Tribolium castaneum: one gene and its partner. The protein of the gene in region 1 binds, or shares a complex with, the protein of each later gene. Links are inferred from orthologs where the notes say so. Each region holds a gene or a part of one and is shown on either strand. Other genes may lie near its edges.

Evidence for each region.
Region 2: eIF3m (region 1) and CSN4 share a complex: the UniProt entries of both Caenorhabditis elegans proteins name them as parts of the CSN complex. The link is inferred for Tribolium castaneum from reciprocal best matches to the Caenorhabditis elegans genes cif-1 and csn-4.

What each region holds. Positions count from the first base shown.
Region 1 is NC_087400.1:750,821-760,929, forward strand, and holds eIF3m (eukaryotic translation initiation factor 3 subunit M), read right to left. Parts: upstream 4,905-10,109; 5' UTR 4,775-4,904; coding exon 4,730-4,774; intron 4,673-4,729; coding exon 4,493-4,672; intron 4,448-4,492; coding exon 3,518-4,447; 3' UTR 3,475-3,517; downstream 1-3,474. Other genes in the region: CysRS (cysteine--tRNA ligase, cytoplasmic), read right to left, coding at 1-311, 2,375-2,591, 2,647-2,726, 2,777-3,142; Sec15 (exocyst complex component 6), read right to left, coding at 4,976-5,102, 5,148-5,334, 5,382-5,523, 5,568-5,805, 5,849-6,040, 6,091-6,476, 6,530-6,697, 6,744-6,925 and 6 more; transmembrane protein 80, read right to left, coding at 8,178-8,371, 8,419-8,632. UniProt on the Caenorhabditis elegans protein: Component of the eukaryotic translation initiation factor 3 (eIF-3) complex, which is involved in protein synthesis of a specialized repertoire of mRNAs and, together with other initiation factors, stimulates binding of mRNA and methionyl-tRNAi to the 40S ribosome.
Region 2 is NC_087399.1:5,884,942-5,895,781, reverse strand, and holds CSN4 (COP9 signalosome complex subunit 4), read right to left. Parts: upstream 6,646-10,840; 5' UTR 6,628-6,645; coding exon 6,545-6,627; intron 6,493-6,544; exon of another isoform or gene 6,316-6,492; coding exon of another isoform or gene 5,830-6,315; intron 5,088-5,829; coding exon of another isoform or gene 4,925-5,087; intron 4,878-4,924; coding exon of another isoform or gene 4,604-4,877; intron 4,552-4,603; coding exon of another isoform or gene 4,512-4,551; exon of another isoform or gene 4,397-4,511; intron 4,272-4,396; exon of another isoform or gene 4,132-4,271; coding exon of another isoform or gene 4,049-4,131; intron 4,003-4,048; coding exon 3,923-4,002; intron 3,874-3,922; coding exon 3,170-3,873; intron 1,762-3,169; coding exon 1,533-1,761; intron 1,483-1,532; coding exon 1,346-1,482; 3' UTR 1,253-1,345; downstream 1-1,252. Other genes in the region: voltage-dependent anion-selective channel, read left to right, coding at 680-897, 952-1,043; sds22 (protein phosphatase 1 regulatory subunit 7), read left to right, coding at 4,512-4,551, 4,604-4,877, 4,925-5,087, 5,830-6,315; longitudinals lacking protein, isoforms H/M/V, read left to right, coding at 6,646-6,825, 6,881-7,054, 7,132-7,231, 7,278-7,564; flr (actin-interacting protein 1), read right to left, coding at 7,813-7,922, 7,971-8,121, 8,263-8,496, 9,132-9,602, 9,657-9,941, 10,180-10,508, 10,564-10,654, 10,707-10,828. UniProt on the Caenorhabditis elegans protein: Component of the COP9 signalosome complex (CSN), a complex involved in various cellular and developmental processes.

The sequences.
Region 1 (10,109 bases):
GGGGAATCCCAGGCGGGCTCGCCCGGCTTGCTGCGTTTCCACAGCGCGAAGTCGTTGGGGGAATGCTTCTCGTTGCGTTGGTCGGCCGTGGTGAGGTCGCCTTCGCCCTCCTGGAGGCTGTTGGTGTCGCCGTAGGCCTCCGGCACCAGCTTGGCGTAGTAGTGGTTCGGTTGCTTGTCGAAGGCGGCGACGTCGAAGTACACCGAACCGTTGGCTTCGTAGCCGAAGCCGTTCGAGATGATTCGGGAGATGTAGCCGATTATTTCGGGGATGTACTCGCTGACGCGGGTCAGGACGTGCGGTTTGAGGATCTGGACAACGAAGGAGTTGGTTTTTTATATATTTCCAAAAAAAAAAGAAAAATTTTGTGGGGTTTTTCGTTACAATATTTTTATAAAAAAAAAACCTGTTATAGTGTTGCAAATTACCACAAAATAGTTTTAAATGGATTACCAATAGACATAACTGGGGTCAGTCTGTTTGCAGAGTTGGAAATTAATTAATTCAGTGTAACAGAAGAATAGGAAAAAAACTGATAATATTTTATTTTATTTGATTTTTAGCCATTGTTGTAAATTAACTACGTAATCTGTGACAACACTGATTATGTCTTATGTCGAGTCAAATAACGGCCTTGTAAGATTTTTATTTTAAAATTATTTGCCTTTATTACAAATTGCGAACGCACTGCAAAGCCAGACATTTATTAAGTTTTACGTTAACATGACATTTTTTTTTAGAAAATTACAAAACACCCGAATTTTTATAACTTCATTAAAAAGTGTTGTGTTTTATTTATTTGTTTATTTATTTTTTTTTATTTTTTTTTGTAATAAATAGTTCAAGACAAATACGTTTCTGTTTCTCATAATGAATATTGAGATTTGAACGATTGTGCTAATGCTATGCTATTTTATTGTACAGGGTGATGTCCGAATACGGGATCTTCGAAATTAAGAGGTTTAGAGAAAAACGAGTGACACATTCTCGGGTCCGTTTTTTGAGAAAATAATTTTGGTCAAAACCGCATCCTGCAATCGTCTTTTGTTTTCGACTTATAAACAAAAGTTAACATTTTGGTGAAATCTTAAAAAATTCATATCTTCCTTATTATAAAAGATACAAATTTGAATCAAAGTACTTTTTTACAGAGAATTTAATAATGTTATCAGCGATTTTTTTTAATCATTCGTTTAGCTGTAATAACATAAAGTTGTATTTTTTTAAATGAGAATCATAGTTGGCTATAACATTTTCGGAAAGCTTATTTTTTTCTGAACTCAAAACAATATAAATATAGTTTGATATTTTTATATGTTTTCGATAAAAAATATATTTAAAATATTTGAAAGTAGTTGGCCATGGAAAAATTATTTCACATAAAAGGTGTGAATAATCTAGAAATTTTGTGAACGGTTATTAAAGTAAAAAATGTGAAATTATAAAAATAAGTTAAAGTTATTTTCAATTGAACAAATATATGAACGTCGCAGATTTTAATTACATAAAAATGTGCAGACAATTGCAAACTATGTCTCACTACCACTTGATGCCACTTTTTTATGATTAAGTGCAATGGAGGTGACGTTGATAATGTTGTGTATTTTTTTACCGCAGATGGAATTTGATTTTGGTGTTTGGATTGACATTTTTTTGGAAAATAAAATTTTATTGATACGCAATCATACAATTAATAAGATTTTTCTTCTTCCGACATTTCTTGTTTAAAATTGGAAAATAGAATGACAACGTAAGCTTGCCATTTTAAATATAAAAACAAATAATTTTTATTAATTGCAAAAATTTGATCTCATAAAAATTTATTATGCTGTTTTTGAATTAATTAGCGTTTAAAAAATCATTAAATTATAAATACATGTTGGATAATACAATTTTCATAGTTTTAATTAAAAATCCAAAATTTTTTCATGGCCTACTATATAAAGAAAAAGCGAAATGTTTTGTTTTTTCTTAAATATTTTAAATTATGTATTACACAAATAGACATATCAAATCAGAAAAAAATAATCTTTTCGAAATTGTCACAGCCAACTATGATTCCTATTTAAAAAAATATAACTTCATGTTATTACAATTAAACGAATTTTTGAAAAAAATCGCTAATAACATTAGATTCTCTGTAAAAAATGCCTTTATAAAGTCTTTGTTTCAAATGTAAATGTTTAATAATAAAGAAAATATGATATTTTTAAGATTTCGCTAAAACGTCAACTTTTGTTTAAGTCGAAAACAAAAGACGATAGCGAGATGCGGTTTTGACCAAAATTATTTTCTCACTCGTTCTTCTCTAAACCTTGTCCTGTATTCGGACAAAAAGTAGCACTTGTACAACTTTTGCTGCGAAAATACGTACATTTAGAGCCTCCATGTCTTTGTGAAATTCTTGTTCCCAGTGCTGTGGTAATGACGTAAAAATCGCATTGTCTGTAATTGTGGCCCCAAATTTACAATCCAGCCAATCAGACAGTGGGTCTTTACTCCGCACTATGTAATTTTTCTTTGCGTTTTCAATTTTCGTATTATCACCACTTTTGACCGCATTTTCCAATTCTTCAACCGATTTAGTGAGACTAGTTGAAAAATTAATTTAATCATCTATATACAAAAAATGCCAAAATAGCTTACTTGACTAGAAGTTTCTCATACATTTGTTTCTTATCGGGATCAAAGGCATTTTGTGTGGTCTCAGCCAATTTCTCCAAAACCTGTAAACCCCCGTTACAATGTGACCACCACAAAATACAAACAACCATACCAACTTTGCGTCACTTAAAACCTCCTGTAACGACCTCTCCTCCCCAACATACCTCTCAAACAAGTAGTTCTGACGCGCCCTTTTTATGATTTTATCGTCAATATCCGTAATATTCATCACGAAAAAAATATCATAACCGAAATAATCGGCAAGGACGCGCCTCAAAATATCAAAAGTTATGTACGATCTGGCGTGCCCCATGTGCGAGGCGTCGTAAACAGTCGGCCCGCAACTGTACCAAGTCACTTTTTTGCCCGAAATCGGCCTAAACACCTCCTTCTGACGCGTCAGACTATTGAACACTTTCAGGACCGGACCGCCAGACGCCTCCGGCGCCGACCACGGGGGCTGCACACGTTTCGACATAACCTAACTCCAACCACCAAATTTGCAATTATTTAACACACCAACACCAAAACGCACTCTTCGGTGTTATCTAGCGGAAATTAAACTGTGATTGCATCAGAAGAAGGCACGGAATTCCCACAAAATCGGAATCAGCGGCCACAACACCACACAGTGCTGCCAACATGAAACGGCACCGGCGGCTCTTGACCCCGATTGGGGGCAAGGAACGTGCGACACGTGGCGGGTGAAACCCCCACATTAAATTATGGGGCGCAATAATGTAATTTTCGTAGTTTAAGCAGCAAATTTAGTTAGTTACTTGACGTGGTATTAAAATAAAAATCCCCAACTAGTTCCAAAATTTTTATTCTTAAATTAATCGCTACAAAACAATTATTGTTGGTTCAACATTTCGAGCTGTGCCGCTGTGACGTTCTTCATCCCTTCCTGGACCATGCTGAGGTTGCTTTTCCACGAGTGGAGCAAATCCCTCAATTGTTGCCACTGGGCGCGCCCAAAAGTCCTATGCATGGTGCTTGAGACGTAGACTTTCCGAGCGGCTTGGTCCATGCGGGCCCTCACCAGTTTAGTCTTCAAGACTTCGATAATAAACGCCTCGACCTCCTCAGCCTTGATCTGCAACTCTCTCTCAATCACGTCAAAACTGATCTCCGGGTTGGTCTCAGCGAGTTGCATGAAGGACAACAACCGCATCTTTTGCATGTTCTTCTCGTGGTTCAACCCCTGCGACGTGACAAACTCCTTGTGTTCTTGGTAGAATTTCAAATACGTTGCCAAATTTTCGCTGACAAAGATATTAAGCAAGTCGTGGATTAGCTCCCCTTCGAGAAATTTGACCGGCTTTAGGGCCAGTAAGGGGTCGAGGAGGAAGGTGTTGGGGTCCCCCAGGGCCGAGACGATGCACTTGATCGCGTCCTCGCGGGCATGCGAGGCGTTCTTATCGGTGTAGGTCCCCAAAAGTTCGATCATGACCTTGGCAGCCTGCTCACTGTGGTTGCTCTTTAGCAGCACCTGGTGCAACAACCGGTACAGAATCTGCAACTGCTCGCTTGTCGGTGGACACGGGGCGAACTGTTGCTTCAAATGCTCGATATCCTGGAACACCGACTTGACCTGGTCCGTTTTCTCCGCAATTAAAATCAAGTGGTAGTAGACGTGGTAGCGCATGGGGGACGTCTCGTCAAGCGACTGGAACAGCAGCCACAAGGCGCGCAGGCACACCAGCCCCAGTTTGGGGCCCTGAGCCTTGAGCAGCTTCTGGCAAAAGGCCAGGATGATGTTCTCGGACCGGTCGGCCGGGATCTAAAACACGTCCAATACCACGCGCAAATGATTCGAGACACTTACAAGCACCATGATTGAGACAATGTCGTTGAGCACCATCTCAACTTCGGGCTCCTGGCCCTCCTTGAAACAGGCCTCGCATACGCCGATTATTTTGTGTAGGTCGTCTTCGATGCCCTTGACTGATTTTTCCTCCGAAATTTCAGCGCCTAAACTTTTTAAGTAAATGCGGAGCTCTTGCGCCTAAAACATAACCTCAAAGTGTCATATGGACACAAAATGCCACAAATGGGCGCCTACCTGGTCCTCGGGACTCACGTCGATAAAGACAGGGGGCACTTGCATTTTTCTACAGTTAGTTCACGGTTTTTTGCAATTTTTAACTGTTTTAAGGGGAAAAACCACACCGCAAATTTGATGGTTATGTTGGCAATGCGCATGCGCAAACGCCAAGTTGTTACTTTTTTAAATTTGGTGGCCAAGTTGGCCACAAAAATTAAAACACCGAATAATTAATAAAATTTATTATTTAATTCAACAAGTCGGTTATTTGTTGGGCGTTATTTGGGTCAGCTGTCTCAGTTGTTTTAGGACCGTTTCCAGTAACTTCTTCTTGTCTCTTTCGTTCTTTTTCAATACTGTGAACATAGTTTTCTTATCGCCTTCTTTCAATCTACAAGAATCAATTAACTTGTGGTTTAATAACCCGATTTGTTACTTTTCGAGCAATACTATCGCATCATCTGGATTGACTTGCTTATATTTGCTGGTTTCTTGCCCATAGTCGTGGAAATAAGTGGGCCAGTCCCATGACGTGAACAGGTCTAAAGTCTCCCGTAGTTTGGTAAAATACGACAAGAGGACGTCCTCTTGTAGGCCTTTGACGGGCTCAGAGGCCGCAAATTCTGTAAAACTTGTTTAAATTTCCGGTTATCATTTTTCGATTAATTACGTTCACACTGTAGTAAATCTAAATTGATTTGGTTTAAGGCCCCCATGGAAATTTGCTTGATCTCGTCATTCATCAACAGTTGAAACATCGAATTGGCAATGTGTTCACACGCCGACTTACACGCAACTTGCGCCACCTCCGGCTACAAATCACTCGATAAAAAATCAACAAAACCAATCAACAAACCGGTAAATTGGTGAAACTCTGAAACGTCGTCTGGAGGAAAGCAATCAAATCGGAGATGTAACTAGAGGCGTGTCCTGACGGCTCACCCAACAGCCAATCATAACTCTCCAATTCGTAAAACTCGTTCAATTTTTGGCGCAATTTTTCGCAAATTTGGCGCACGGCGTCTTCACGAGCCACGCGGAACATGGCTGGTTGGCCTTGGACCACTCCCGTGGACACCCCTCGAGACTCCTCCCTAAATGTTTTGTTTTTATTGGCGGATTAATTTTGTGCCCTACCCTGTAATATTTGAAATAAACTGGTCCAAGTAGACCGTGGCTTCCTCCAAATAGCCCGTATCGATGATTATTTGGATAATTTCCTGAAGATTGATGTGCGGGCTACGAAACGTTGACGACAAACAACCGCTAAACGTCCGCGTCAGGAGCAAATTCATCGACTTGCGGATCATTTCGTCGACTTCCACTTGACTACAATTCAGTCACAGCCCACTTCGATTGGAATTATTCAACAACCAAACCTTAAATTCAAATCCTCGGAGAATTTCAAACACGCGTAAATAAACTCCTTGACTTGTTGGTAGACCTTGGGCACCATCCCCGAAAAGGGGAACTTGTGCGGGAAAACCACATCGTTGGGCAAGTCCTCGTCCCATGGAAACGACGACAAAATATGCTCATACTCCTCGAGATCGTACACTTGAATCGGCTGAAAATCCTCCTTCGAGAGAATTTCCCGAAAGACTTGCACCCATCTCTGCATCAAAACTTCGGTATAATGGTCACGTAATTCACGCACCAACTCCCACAACGGTTTCACCGAATAACCATAATTACGCAAAGTCGTGCAAAAAAGCATGATCAAGTCTTTAATGCGCAGGATCAAGGTGGCGTCGGTACAATACGCCTGAAATTTTTTTCATAACCGATTGAGTAAACAAATTTTTCGGGTAATTATACCGAATGTGTTTGCAAAGCACTGACGATTTTTGACAACGCCATCGTCCACATTTCGTCCAAGAAGGCGCGGGTTATGAGCCCGTTCCCGGTGTTTAACACGTGATCCTCCAAAATAAAGAAACCGAGGACGGCGTGAATGTAGGCACGGTAGCTCTCTTCACACTCGTGCTGCGGGAACAAAAGACGATCACGATACAAGTCACAGCCGACTTACCATATTAGTGGGCGGCTGTAAAACCAAGCGGGCCTGTTTCGTCCTTTCGGCCCTATAGTACGTCTCGAAAGTGGCCCTCGTATTAAGCACTGTTGAAATATGCAAACTGCGATAAATCGGCGAAAAATCGATCAATTCTTGGGCACTTAAATCCTCCTCAGAGAAGTGACCAACGCCGTCACCTAAATTACAATATTTAACAAAAAATTAAATACGGAATTAAATCAAGTGACCTGACGGTTGTGGCGCTATTCTTTTTTTCTTGCGTCCGATGACTGTGGGGTCACTGGCCAACTGTTCACTAGTCTACAATTTCATCACTTTCAATAAGTAAACGAATGACAGAATCATAGCCTCCTTGATGGGCAATGTTTAATCATTAAAAGTTACGTATCCATCAAGGAGGCTAATAATCGAGTTAAACTGACGTGTTTCATGGCCACTTCTCCAATTTTCGGGGAAAATTTGCGAATATTTTCCAGAAAGTCCTTCAAGTCGGACATTGAGGCCTTTTCGATGCTTTCCCTAATCCTGCAAAAGTCGGTATTGCAGGACACTGTAACCGTTTTTTTTTGACTCACTTCGGTATGCTCTCCCTTAACTGGTAAGAAAAGCGATAATTGGCCACGTGGAGCAGGTGTGAGTGTTCCAGCTCCTCTAAAGTTTTCAAGGCGGGGTAATAACTACAAAATTGTTACAAGTTTGCCTAGTTTTTGATTTTTGTTACCGTTTTTCCGCGATTTGTTTTTTTAATTTGGAATAAGAGGTCAAAACCGGCAAACAGAGATTAAGTTGGGCGATTACGACGGCAATGTTGCTCTGGACTTTGCGCGCTTGTAGCAGCTCATTGCCCGATTTTGAGATGTTTTTTGCTGCTTGGTGCAGTTGGGTGTCGAGGGTGGTGACCTGGCCCTACAATTGGTGTGAATTTTGTGCTAGGATTGTGGCAAGTTTTACGTTTAGTTTTTTGGCGTGGTTTCGCACTTCTAACAACTCTCTGATTGCTTCAATAAATCCCTGATAGTACACATTGCAAAGGCGTTCAATGTCTTTGTTGTGGTGTTGGATGCGTTGGTCTAACTTCTCGCGGAACTTTACGTTCTGGTCGTTATCATAAATTGCCCTGAAACTGGAAGTGAAAGACCGAACTTAAAATTTTACGCCCACCTAAAAGTTGGGCCCCAGTAATCGTCAACTCCTTCGATTTCTTGCAGATACAAGTCGTATTGCGAGTTTTCCCCACTTTGGGGGTCACCCATGGTGGATTTATTGTGTTTTTTTGATTTTTAAATAAAAAAATCGTAATTAAAATTGTGAGGTTACGTGACGTGACAATTGACACTTTGACACTGCCACCACACCGACTCGAATATCCCTACATTTCAAATTATTGATCCATTTATTTTATTTCTTTATTATCGTACAAAAAATTATCTAATAATACTCCGGGGTTTTGCAGAACGGTAGAAGACACAAGATTCCAGTCACAATCTCGACGAATTGTAGGCCGACTTGTATGCCGCAAATAATGTACTCAAATCTCAAAGCATGGCTTTGCCAAATCATAAAATACAAAACTCCAGCTAGTGAAGGGATCGTCAGGAAAATTGCGACCAGAACTGGCCATTCTGTAAAAAATCAAGTCCAGATAATGTTGGCCCAAAAAACCACTCACTTCTCTCGGTCAGGTTGCCCTTCCTTGCCAAAATCACCCGAAACAGCTCAATCACGCAAACAGCCATCAGAATACCGAAATCGGTGGAAAAGTGCTTCAAATCGGGGAAATTCATGTACTTTACCACGTTCATCCCGATCTCACAAACGGCAAACAGGCCGAAATAGTACGAGTTTAAGTACAACAGCACTTCGAAAGTCAGCGAGGTGTTCATTAGGGGCTCAATTGTGCTCAATTAAGCCGAGTTTTTTAATATAGAATATAAAACAAACACTTGTTTATGTGGGTATTGATGGGGCAAGAGTGCCAACACAACCACAAACAAACCCTGGCGATTTGGGGAAACTAATCAACATTTCGGTGTTTCCAACGATTTGAATTACTGTTTTTTCATTAATTAAGAAGTTAAAACACGTTATAGAGGAATAAAAACGCAATAAAATTAAATAATTCAGTTAACCAATCGTCGGTTGCCATGGCAACGTCTGTTGCTATGGTGATTATCAGGGGCGTACTGGGTCAGAAATCAAAAATTGGGAACGTTGAAATTTGGGGAACAATTAAAAGTGTTTAAATTCTATCATCTGAGAGCTTTTTCAAATTTTTATCGTCATTTATTTTGAAAATACAAGGCCAACTTGATTTTTTTAATGGCACGAAGGGTCAAATTTATTCATTTTCAAAAGAGATTTTTTTTCTGAATTCAATGATGTAACATGATACTACCTTTACTTTTATTAAAATGTAAAAAAATAAAAATTCAAAAATTTTCTGGAATAGTAAAACAAAGTTGGCTTTGAAAATACTGTTATTAGCGATGCCTGTCACTTGAATATTAGCCAAAAATTAAACTTGGCTGCAATAATTAGTTTAATAATAGTACATTTAAGTAAAACTGAGCGAAAAAAATCTCATGTTGGTTTATCATGGAGACAGAAAGCCAAGAAGTTAGTGGAAATCAGTTTGAACATCGTTTGTAGCATAAAAATCAAGTATTCCGTGTTTAAAATTTCTTAATTAAAACGTTAAAAGTGTTATTTTAACAATTATTTTTAGCTTTTACTTATTTTTTGGTTAATGAGCTAACGATAGATAAAGACAACATTTCCAAGGCTAACAAGATTTTACATTTTTCAAAATTTTCGATTTTTTTTAAGTTTCGATTAAACCAAGGTATGCATGTGTTATACGATCGAACTCAGAAAAAATGCTCTTCCCGAAAATATTAAATTTGACCCTTGTTGCTATTTAAAAAAAAAACAAGTTAGCCTTGTATCCGAAGAACAAATGGAGATAAAAATTTAATAAACATCTGAAACGATACAATTTATATACTCTTAAGCATATACCAGATTTTAATAAGTTTTAATGAATAGTTTTTCTAATATTTCTATCTTCTACACTTTAGATATAAATTAATTTTACGTCATCTTTTTTTATAAAAATTCTAGTCAGTGTTTCTCAGCCTGTTTTTTCATTTTTTCCATGTATTTAGTGGATTGGTTTAGGGTTCAGAAAATCGTCTCAATTCGCCTCCTAACTCATAGTCCTCCGTAGCCTTGGCCAAAAATACAAAACACAGTCCATTCCAAAATCATTTATTGTTAATAAAAATATGAGTATTAAATCTTGTCGACTCGCCCTAGTGGTAACACTGTAAAACCGGCTACAAGCAAAACGAAGACTTGCCC
Region 2 (10,840 bases), on another chromosome or scaffold:
TTGAGGGGGCCAAACATTAATATTCACAAATTTGTATAAAAATTTAAAAACATCTTCTTCGTGGACTCAAAATATGTAAAACTTCATCACAAATTACTTCAATACCGCGGTGGATTTATAAAGAAATTAAACCATTTAATCTATTTTGTCCTGTAGTGTTCAATTTTTTCCGAATTTAAAAATTCTGTAATATTTTTGTAAATCTTTCTTCTAAGTTTGAAATTGCTGAATCTAAAAGAGGGTTGAAAATTGAAATTTAATAATACATTTCTGGCGAATCAAAGGTTACATTGGTTCGATGTATTTGCCTTGAAACTAATCAGAGTACCAAAATTTCGTGTAAATGATTTTGGACGGTTTTAAAAGAATTCAAAATGGGATTCTGCGTCTTTTCGTAATAATTTTAAAGAATAGAACAACTTTAAAGATTTTTTTGTTTCTTTTACCGTTTTATCCAGAAAAAAGTTTACTGACGTTTTATTTTTATACACACCTACTTACGCGACGCATGTTTGTTTTTTTTTAATGTATATATAAACAAGTTTAAAATTTAAATCATGTAACCCCCCCGGGTGTGCCACTGTAGGTGATACCAACCTGACTGTCCCAAACCCCGCCAGATCCCGAGGGGCCCTTTATCTCCCTGATCCCCGTTTAAATCCCCTTTTGTAACGTTTAGTGATCACAGCGATGACGGCCAGGAGTTCGGAGGGTCCATTTATCAGAAGTTGTCCCCAAAGTTGGAGACCGGCATCCAGTTGGCGTGGTCTGCTGGCAGCAACAACACCAAGTTCGGAATAGGGGCTAAATACGACTTGGATCAAGACGCCGCGATTCGCGCCAAGGTCAACAATTCCAGTCAGATCGGTTTGGGGTATCAGCAGCGTTTGCGTGAAGGTGGGTAGTTGGGGGAGGTTGGTCGGGGGTTGATTGGCTTTGTTTGGTTGGCAGGTGTGACTCTAACTTTGTCGGCCCTCATTGACGGCAAGAACTTCAATAACGGCGGCCACAAGATCGGTCTGGCCGTTGAGTTAGAGGCTTAATCAGAGATTCGTCAGTTCCAAATTGTATTAGAACCAAGACACGTTTCAGCCTGCTGTATTGTAGATATTTTAATTGTTCTATGGGACTTTTTAGTATTAAAACATATACATGAATACGTCTTGTATTTTCAGTTTGTAGTAGTTTTAGTGAAGTCGTCCTTTTGTTACCGTTTCCGGATACTTCTCAAAAAATTGCTACTTCCCACACGTGTTTTTTACTTGTGCAAGCTTTTAATTCAATTGTTTTATGATTATGACAAGTATTGTAAAACAAATAAAATGTAATTTACAAAAGACACGTTTCACTTAAGATCCATCTGCTCCTCCATCACCTTACTGATCCATTCGGGCTCGCTTTTTGCGATTGATTCAATGATTGAATTCACCTGGTAGCAGAGAGACTGGATTTGTTTGTCCCACTGGGGCAAAGTTTCACGAGCTGGAACAAAGCGATCAAATACACATCGTAAACAACACCAGCTTTAGTACTTTCAAAGTGGACGATTGAATCGATTTGGTCAATGTAACCGTTCATTCGCCCTTCGGTTATCATCTGACTTGCGATTTTTTCAGCCTTGGAAGGGTGTATTTCGAGCAAAGCTCCCAACTCTTCGAAACTAATATTATTATAAAGTTTACTAGCAGACAGGAGATTGTGTTCGATAACGGCGCGGTCCAGAATTGTTGACCCATCAATGGTGCTCGCCTTTTGGTGGGGCTACAATGAATCGACAGTTTTATAAGAGGTCGCTTAACCTTTGCAACATTGTGATAATAAAGCGTTAGTTAATTCCCGTTAATTAAGCAAGTGATAAGACCTGCAATTACGGCAAACAACTCATGCATCACTGTGTTTACAAAGTGTGACGATATTAAACAATAAAGAGTATTATCCTCAATTAGTTGCTCCGTTGCATCACATTACTTTTTTATTCTCACACGTAAATAACCTCGTGAGATGTTATATAGATGATCAGTTTATTATTAGATTTCTGGAATCCGTCTCGGCGCGCATTATTTCGACGTAGACAAATATCGACGTCAACAGTATTATGAAATTCATTTTTTGTAAATAAAAAATCAATTAAATAAATATGAAATCAATTAAGAACTTTAATTAAATCGTTTTTATTGGTACTAAACCTAAGTCAAAAGTAGACAAAGGTTAAATTTAACGCAGCTTTGCTTAAATTAAACTCACAGTGGAGTTCATCGGCATTTACAAGGAGGAAATATCAGTAGATAACTTAACACACATTTCATTTTTCCCTGTGTGAACTATTTAAAGCACATGCATTACACAAAGTGTAACCGTAATCCGGCTCTGATTAAACAGAAACCTAAAACGTGCTAAACCAGCAATCTTATTTCACCATAATACTTTAATGAGACAAAAAAATGTTCCTAAAATGACATCGGGAATAAATCATCTGAGAAAAAAGTTAGGGTTACAGTGAAACCTCCCATAAGCGGACACCGACATGCTTTTTGTCCGCTTAATGGAAAAGAAATAGCAATTTATATATAAAAACAAACTAAAATAAAAGGCTTCGCTTTTCACAAACGTTACACTTCCATAAAACATGTACTACCTACTTATGTGATTCCCCGATTTTTTTGATCAATTGTCATAATAACTATTAATCACACGCGCGTATGATGTGCTGTCCGCTTAAAGGAGATATTTTGTTTCCAAGGATTTGAATTGCATTGTGCGCGTCCGTTTATTGGAGCGTCCGCTTAAAATACATTATCTAAAAAAAGGCCCGTTTGTCAGAGGGGTCCGCTTATCGGAGGTGTCCCTTAAGAGAGATATTACTTGTGTTGGTATTTGAATACATTCATCTTCATTTTATGATTATACGTTTGTAAGGGTGATAATTAATAATAATAATTTTATTTATAATATTAATAATAATTAATAATACTGATTATCAAATTAACAAATGGTATTAGTATTTTTATTGCTTTTGCAGATTTTCTTTAAAACTTGTTTCAATCAATTTAATTCAAGATGATACTTTTATGTCAATAATTTTTCAGTATTTAATTGTACAAAGGACTCAAAAAAATACAAATTTATCATAGTTATGCAACTAACAATACAACACTTTTTATACACGTACCTGCAACAAGGCCTCAAAATCCCTCAATTCGGACCTCCTGATGATTCTTTCGAGGTACATTTTTTCCAAAATCGCCACTGCTGGCAACTGTTGGCACCTCTCGTCCTTGAACAGTGTGGCCAACATGCGCGATCTTTGTTGCCCCGCTGAAGCCAAAACAGTGCAAACTAAAGCATTCCGAAGGGCTGTCATGCGTTCATCTTCATGAACAATCGTCCTATAGGACAATTCATTGTATCTCTGAGCCGCCTCAATAAACTTCCGCCGATAATCCAAAACTCGAGCATAACAAACTTTGTAATAAATTTGAAGCTGCTCATTCCGTGACTCGGCCTGAAGCAGCGACGCCCGGTTGATGAAAGCCTCAGCCTGGACCGGATCGTCATCCTCAAGATACAACCTCGCGATTTTCAAATACGTTTCAAGTTTGTAATCCACGGTGTATTGTTTCTGGCCGGTTTCGAGCGGGATTCCCACCAGGACAGCTGCAGCCTCGCGCCACATGTGGTTACGTTCGTAGATATCGGCCAAATGTTGGCGAATACTTGCCACCTGCTCCTCAAACGAAATAACCCGGGGTTGCACCTTCTCAAGCATAAAGTGTGAGACAGTTTTGGAAACATCGTCGGGTAGTTTCATCAAATGCGAGCTTATTTCGGTCAGGATTTGGCGCGAGATGACCAAACTAACGTTCTCATTGACAACTGAAACGACTTGAGTTAGACTGGGTTGGTGGCTGTGGGGGGTACGGACTTGCTTCGATGAATATCTGCAAGCCTTCGGTCAGCTCGGGGCCCGAACCGGCGAGGATGTTCTCAAGAATACCGCGATATCTGTTAAAAATTAATGTTTTTTTTAATTTTTTTTACATAACCTCACTTTTCGGCCTGGTCTTTGTGGGAGCCCCCGGACGCGATTATGTTGGAGAGTTGGGTGCGGATAGCCGCGCTTTTCTCCGACATGGTGCTCCGCTACTATTTTGGCCACAAATAATAATAAATTATTTTAATTTAACTAAAAGTAGTTTTTGACAAATGACTGACAAAACAGCAATTGCCAACACAACGCTATTGCCGGTTGTGGTAATTTTGTCTAAAAAACACACTTGCAAGTAAATTGTTGTCTTTGCTCTGTAAATAAATACTTGCGACCAATTGCAAGTACAGTTTACTTTAATTAACGTGTGAATAAGGGGTTAAGGGGAAGACGATTTGATTTAATAGGTTGGCTGCACGTGTTGAAGTCAAACTCAAACGTCACGGATGTTTGCTGTCACCCGCCTTTAAATTAGTCACTTAATTAAATTGCAATAAACAGAAATAGTCCAGTGTGAGTGCGAAAAATGCCTTCTCCGCAACAAAACGAGAGTTCCCCCGAGCCCGGTAAGAGAATTCGTTACTTTCGTCGAAAGTCCATGCTCATTGTTAGCCCCAGAGACGTCCACTTCGAACGACAATAAGGAAAAAGGGGCCACTGTCAACGAAATAATGGTAATAGACCCGGACACCCTTGAGCTGGACCTAAACCATGGCAGGATCAGCAAGCTCGAAAACCTTGAGCCCTTGACACAAATCGAGCGCCTCTTCCTGAGGTGGAATTTGATCACCAAAATTGAGAATTTGGACACGTTAGTCACGCTCCGCGAATTGGAATTGTACGATAACCAAATCGTCAAAATGGAAAATCTGGGATGTTTGGTTAATTTAGAGTAAGGAGTGACTCATTTGTGAATGTTGCGAAATATGGCTTTAAAAGGATTCTAGATTTGTCGTTTAATCGTATCAAGGAGATTGAGGGACTGGAGAATTTGCACAATTTAGAAAAACTCTTCCTGTCGTCGAACAAAATCAGCAAAATCAAAAATGTGAAGCACTTGCAGAAGCTGACAATGCTGGAGCTGGGGGACAACAAAATTAGGGTAAGTGTTTATCCTATGGAGGATAATAACTTAGGAGACGAAACTGCGCCGTATTCCCAGCGTTTTGATAAATGTTATCGCTTAGAATTATCAATTTGCGTTCCACCTTATATTTCTGCGAGCTCTGCGAATACAGTTGAAGATACAAAAAAAGTGTAAGGAACAAAGTTGTAGAGAATAAAATTTTCTACAAAAAAGTCCGCGACACCATATTTCTATCTTTAATAGTTTAGGTACGAATTAACTTTCCAATACTTGACCACCGGCAAAATTAAGGAAATCCGTTGCTTGAGCGTCTTTGAACGACTTTGGGGCCTAAATGGTTCAAGATAGGAACATGGTCTCGCGGACTTTTTTGTAGGAAATTTAATTCTCTACAATTTTCTTCCTAACATTTTTCTTGTATCTGTAACCGTATTCGCAGCGTTTTGAAAAATATCTGACAGAGTGCAAAATTGGTAAAAGTTTACGATAAAATTTTTGCACTGTGTTTATCTCTGAATATTGAGAATTTAATGCTATATCTGCCTGTTTTTTTTTGTTTGCTATGTGTGAACAGTAATAAAAATACAACCATGTTTTGAAATGCGCCCTCTGGCGACATTAACGGAGCTATCGAGGACGAGAACGTTTTATTTGTACGTCGTTTCATATTCTAACCTTTAGATCTTCGTAGTTTATCCTTTGAGTGTTTTCAGTTGTTAGTCATAATCTGTGACTTCTAAAACCGTCCTAATTGCAGGACATAGAGAACCTGGAAAACATGCCAGCCCTGACCCACCTCTACTTGGGCAAAAATAAAATATCAAAAATAAAAAACTTGGACAGTCTGACCAACGTGACGTGTCTGAGCCTGCAAAGCAACCGAATAACGCGTATCGAGAATTTGGATAAGCTCACACAATTGACCGAACTGTACATTTCCGAGAACGGAATTCATAAAATAGAAAATCTTACGCATAACACGTTGCTACAGACCTTGGATTTGGCGAAAAATAAAATAAAGTTGATTGAAAACATCGAGCATTTGAACGACTTGGAGGAGTTTTGGATGAATGATAATGAAGTTTCCGATTGGGGAACTGTCGAGAATTTATCGAAGAACAAAAAGCTGGCTACAGTTTACTTGGAGCGGAATCCGCTCGAGAAGGACCCGATGTACAGGAGGAAATTGAAGATGATCGCGCCCTCTCTAACCCAGATCGACGCGACTTTGTGTCAGTTGTAAAATATTGTTTTGTAAATTAAGGAAACCACCGTTGCCATCTGTGCATTTATGAGTTGATTAGCTAATGAGTAACGATTAATTTTAGGCGTCTAATTATAAACCAATCACCCAATTGTGAAAATCGGTTTTAATTTTGATAAGCCCCTGCTACGTAAAAATAAACCAAATAACAATAAACCCGTCGTGTTATTTCCGTTTGAAATTGAAAGGTTAGCAAATTTGCTGGCACCTGTTTTGTTCTCCAGTAGTTTTAAAAATAGCCAAGCTGGATAAATTCTGGGTTTGTGGGCCAGTTCCTGCGATTTTTCCCATCCAAGCTGACGCGTCACAATGAGCGAGCAGTTCGTCCTGCGATGGCACTACCAAGAGCTCACCCTCCTCAAAAACCTCACCACGTTCCTCGAAAACGACGTTCTCACCGATGTCACCATCTCGGTCGAATCCCACACCGTTAAGGCGCACAAACTGGTGTTAGCAATGTGCAGTGTGTACTTTTTCCAGCTGTTCCAGGTGAGTTTTCGCGAAATCACCGTCTATTTTTAAACGACATTACGCCCACTTGTAGGAAATGAGGGACACGCAGCATCCGGTCATTGTGCTGCATAACGTCGCCCTGAGCGACATTAAGGCCGTCCTGGCGTTCATATACAGGGGGCAGTGCGTGGTCTCCAAGGAGCAGCTGCCAGGGCTGCTCTCCCTGGCCAAGCTCCTCAAAATACAAGGACTATGTGATATGAAGGTTAGTCCCCAAAGCCCTAATTACTTATTGGCACCGTGGCCCGTTATGTAACCAAACGTAAACCTAGATTTTGTTAGGTACCTGAAAAACCCCAACTAAACGACATTTCAAGCGAAAAAAGACCAAACTCAACCGACAATGCGCACAAAACCGAAAGTTCGGAAAAAGCAACCGAACGTAAGCTCGAACGGCTTGTTGGTGTCCCCTCTTAATTTTCTTACAGATTTTGCGGAAACTTTCCTGAAAAACAACGACGAAGAAGACGACAGTTACTCGCTTCCGAGTAAAAAACATGCGAAAGACTTGTCTGAAACTTGCAAGTGCTTCCTTTGTGGCAAATACCTCAGTAATCAGTACAATTTGCGCGTGCACATGGAGACCCACGAAGAGGCTTACCATGCCTGCCAGTCTTGCCCCCACGTGTCACGAAGTCGGGACGCTTTGAGAAAACACGTCTCGTACCGACACCCAGAGGAGTACCACACCAGGAAGCGCAAAAAAATAACTTGAACTTTATCAGACAGCTATTTATTCAATATAAACAAAAATAATACTTTTTAGATTATAGTATTTGGATGATTTAGCAGATTTTTCATTCATCATAACACTCCTCGATTTAAATATTTACACTATTAGAAAATCAATACTTGAAATAAATTAATTGACACGTCGGTTAGGCCCGCCACTGCATCACCCTACTGTATGTAATAAATAAAAAAGCTTTACGTTAAATGCAAAAAGGCCATTTAAAAAAATTATTAGAACTTGGTGATGGTCCACAATTTCGTGTTGCAATCCTGCCCCACTGAGACCAAAGTCTGGTCGTCAAGCCAGGCTAATCTAGTGACTTGACTTTGAGCATGAGCGTCTGAAAACAACCCTTATTTTCCGCCCTTACTTAACACAAACTACTCACTTTTGATTATAATATGTTTGGCGGGCTTTTCAACAGACCAGATAATGATACTCGTGTCCAAACTACCACTAGCGACTAGCAAAGAGTCGGGCGACCAAGCAACGCTGTTAACACGCGCGTTGTGGAAACCCCATTCTTGATTGGTGGCGAGCTAATAACGATTATTGTAATCAAAAACGCGAAAAATGTGTAAAAAGCAAACAATTAAAATTTGGTTATTACTTACATTCTGTTCCGAATGCGTGCAACAATTAATTTCATCAATGGTAACTACAGACGCACAAAAACTTACCTTGTATTCAGGAACACTATACAGTACGACTTTTCTGTGGGCATCACAGGCCACTAGATACTTGTCATCGGGAGAGTAGGCAACGTCTGTTACGGCACCCAAATGGTCCAATTCTTGCAAGGGTACCAACTCTGTGCCTTTCAGTTCGTATAAATGCACCTTGTTGTCCATGGCACCACCCACAGCCACGTGACCCCGCGGCGAAACGCTGACACTTGACGGTTCATAAGACACCTTCAATTGTTTTCGTCAATAAGATAAAACAAATGCTTTCAAAAAAAGAAAATCAGCAAAGAGCGACTCGTCAAAACTTTCATACAGGGTGGCTCACCTAACACTTTCGAGCTTTTCAATTAGGAGCTAAAAAATTAAGTTAAAAAATTCTTTTATTTAAAATTAAGCCCAATTTCTATTATCAGATGATTAAATCTTGAAAAATAGGTGGCCACACAAAAAAAATATTTTTTAGTACAAGTTTAAATGATTTAACATTTTAAGAAGGCTTGTAAAAATGACGTTTTTAAGAATTGAGTTGGATTATATCTAATCTTTACCTTCTAAAATATCTGATTTTTAAATTTCATAAGAATCCGTTGACAAATAACTGAAATATCGGGCTTGAAAGTCTTAGGTGAGACATCCTATTGTAAATTTGATAAACTGAAAATTTTAACAGTTATTATTTGTATAAATGACAGTTCGCTGTTTAACTAATTATGAAACTTGTCACTTTACTGAATTTCTCATTGATCTCTGACTGAAATGAAGTTGGAAATATTGAATTGTTGGTGTTGGGGACATTTGATAGTCAAGTTTGCCAACTTAATTTTAAAGCCATAGACCACTGCTCGAAATTGACTGTTTCAAACCTTCAAAGTGCTTGCTTTCCTGTTATCTTGCGAGACGGTGATTTCGTTAACACTCGCTGTGACCACCACATTTTGCTCTTTTAAAATGTCCATTCCGCGAGGTTGCGACCCCAACTTCAAATCTTGCCCTTTGTACGTGTTGCCCTCAATGTCGATTTGTTTTAAAGAGTCATCAATACCACAAGTGTACAAAGTACCACCATGTACCCTCATCCCATTGATCTGGTTACCATGACCCACGCCCTCAACCCGATCGTTCTCCCCAGTTTCGGCGTTCCATCGAGTCACATTACCATCATGCGACCCGGTAAAGATCGTACCACGATCTTCGCTCAATTCTAAGACAGTGATGGGTTTATTGTGCCCTTTAACAACCCGGAGCGGCTTCGTTGGGTCATTAATATCCAAATAATTAATAAAACCACTCAAAGAAACCGTGAGCAAGTATTCGTTTTGCCATAAACACGAAACCTATAAAATATTATATACTTAAAAGAGGACGTTAGTGGGCGTGGCTTAACCCACTTGTTGATCTTCAACTGTCGAACCTAGGACGAATTCAGAGACGACTTGTCTCGTTTCCACGTCCCACAATTTCGCAGTTTTGTCCCCACTGGCTGTTAGCAATTGTTTACCGTCGGGACTCCAACTAACCCCATACACGCCCCCGCTGTGGGCGGGGCTTCCCACTTCCCCCACCAAATCGGAGGACGTACCATCGTACAGAAACACCTTACCATCGAACCCAGCCGAGGCAAATAAATTACCGGTGGGTGAATAACGAACGGCTTGCACAAACCTGCTGTGCTCCTGTAAAAAACAATCACGTGACGTTGACCAAAATCATAGCCACCTATGGTTACTTTATGAACAGGTATTTCCCCCCAAATTAGTTTTCGTCAAGGACATTTCGATTATCACGCAATAAAAAAAAAGGTAAATTGGGTCAAAAAAATGTGAAATTGCGTTAAAAGTGGTGTTGGTTTGTCAGTTCAAAGCTAGTGTATTTAATTTTGTGGGTTGGCGACACGAGTCGTGGCCTCCTTACCTGCTTGGTCATTTTGAACTTAAACGGGGGCCCCTCGAAAACCGCAATGGTGTTGTCTTCAGACCCCGTGATGATTCTGAAAGGTCTCGTGGGTTTGAAATCGCAGGAATTGATGGGTTTTGATTGGCCTGAGATTTCGCCAACGGAAGTTCCCGTTTCGGACATGAAAACATGACCGAAGCGTTCGCGGCCTTCGCCAACCACGACCATTCGTTGGTTATCAGGGGACCAAGCGATATCTTTGATGGGCCCCCCGATTGGGTGAAACTCATTTTTAAGGATGTGCTCCTTGTTGACTGTGTCCCAGATTCTGACTTTGCCCGATTGGTCTAGAAATAAAACCAGTTTGTTTTAATTTTCGGGGGCTCCAGTGTGTTGATTTACCTCCAGAGGCGATGTAGAAGCCGCTAGGGGAGTACTTGGCGACGTTTACCGGACAGGAATGTTCCGTGTAGACGTCGGCAATTGCAGGGTTCTGTAACAAACCAATTGGAGTGGGTTTCTAAGGGAGGAAAGGTTTTTTTTACTTGGATGTTGCGAATGATCACGGAATTGCCATTGGTGTAGAGAAAGTTCTTGCCTTTGGGATCCCCGCCCAACACCAGGGGCTGTCCTCGTTGGGTCCGCGGCAAAGTCGCGTAAATACTCTCTGGAAAAGATA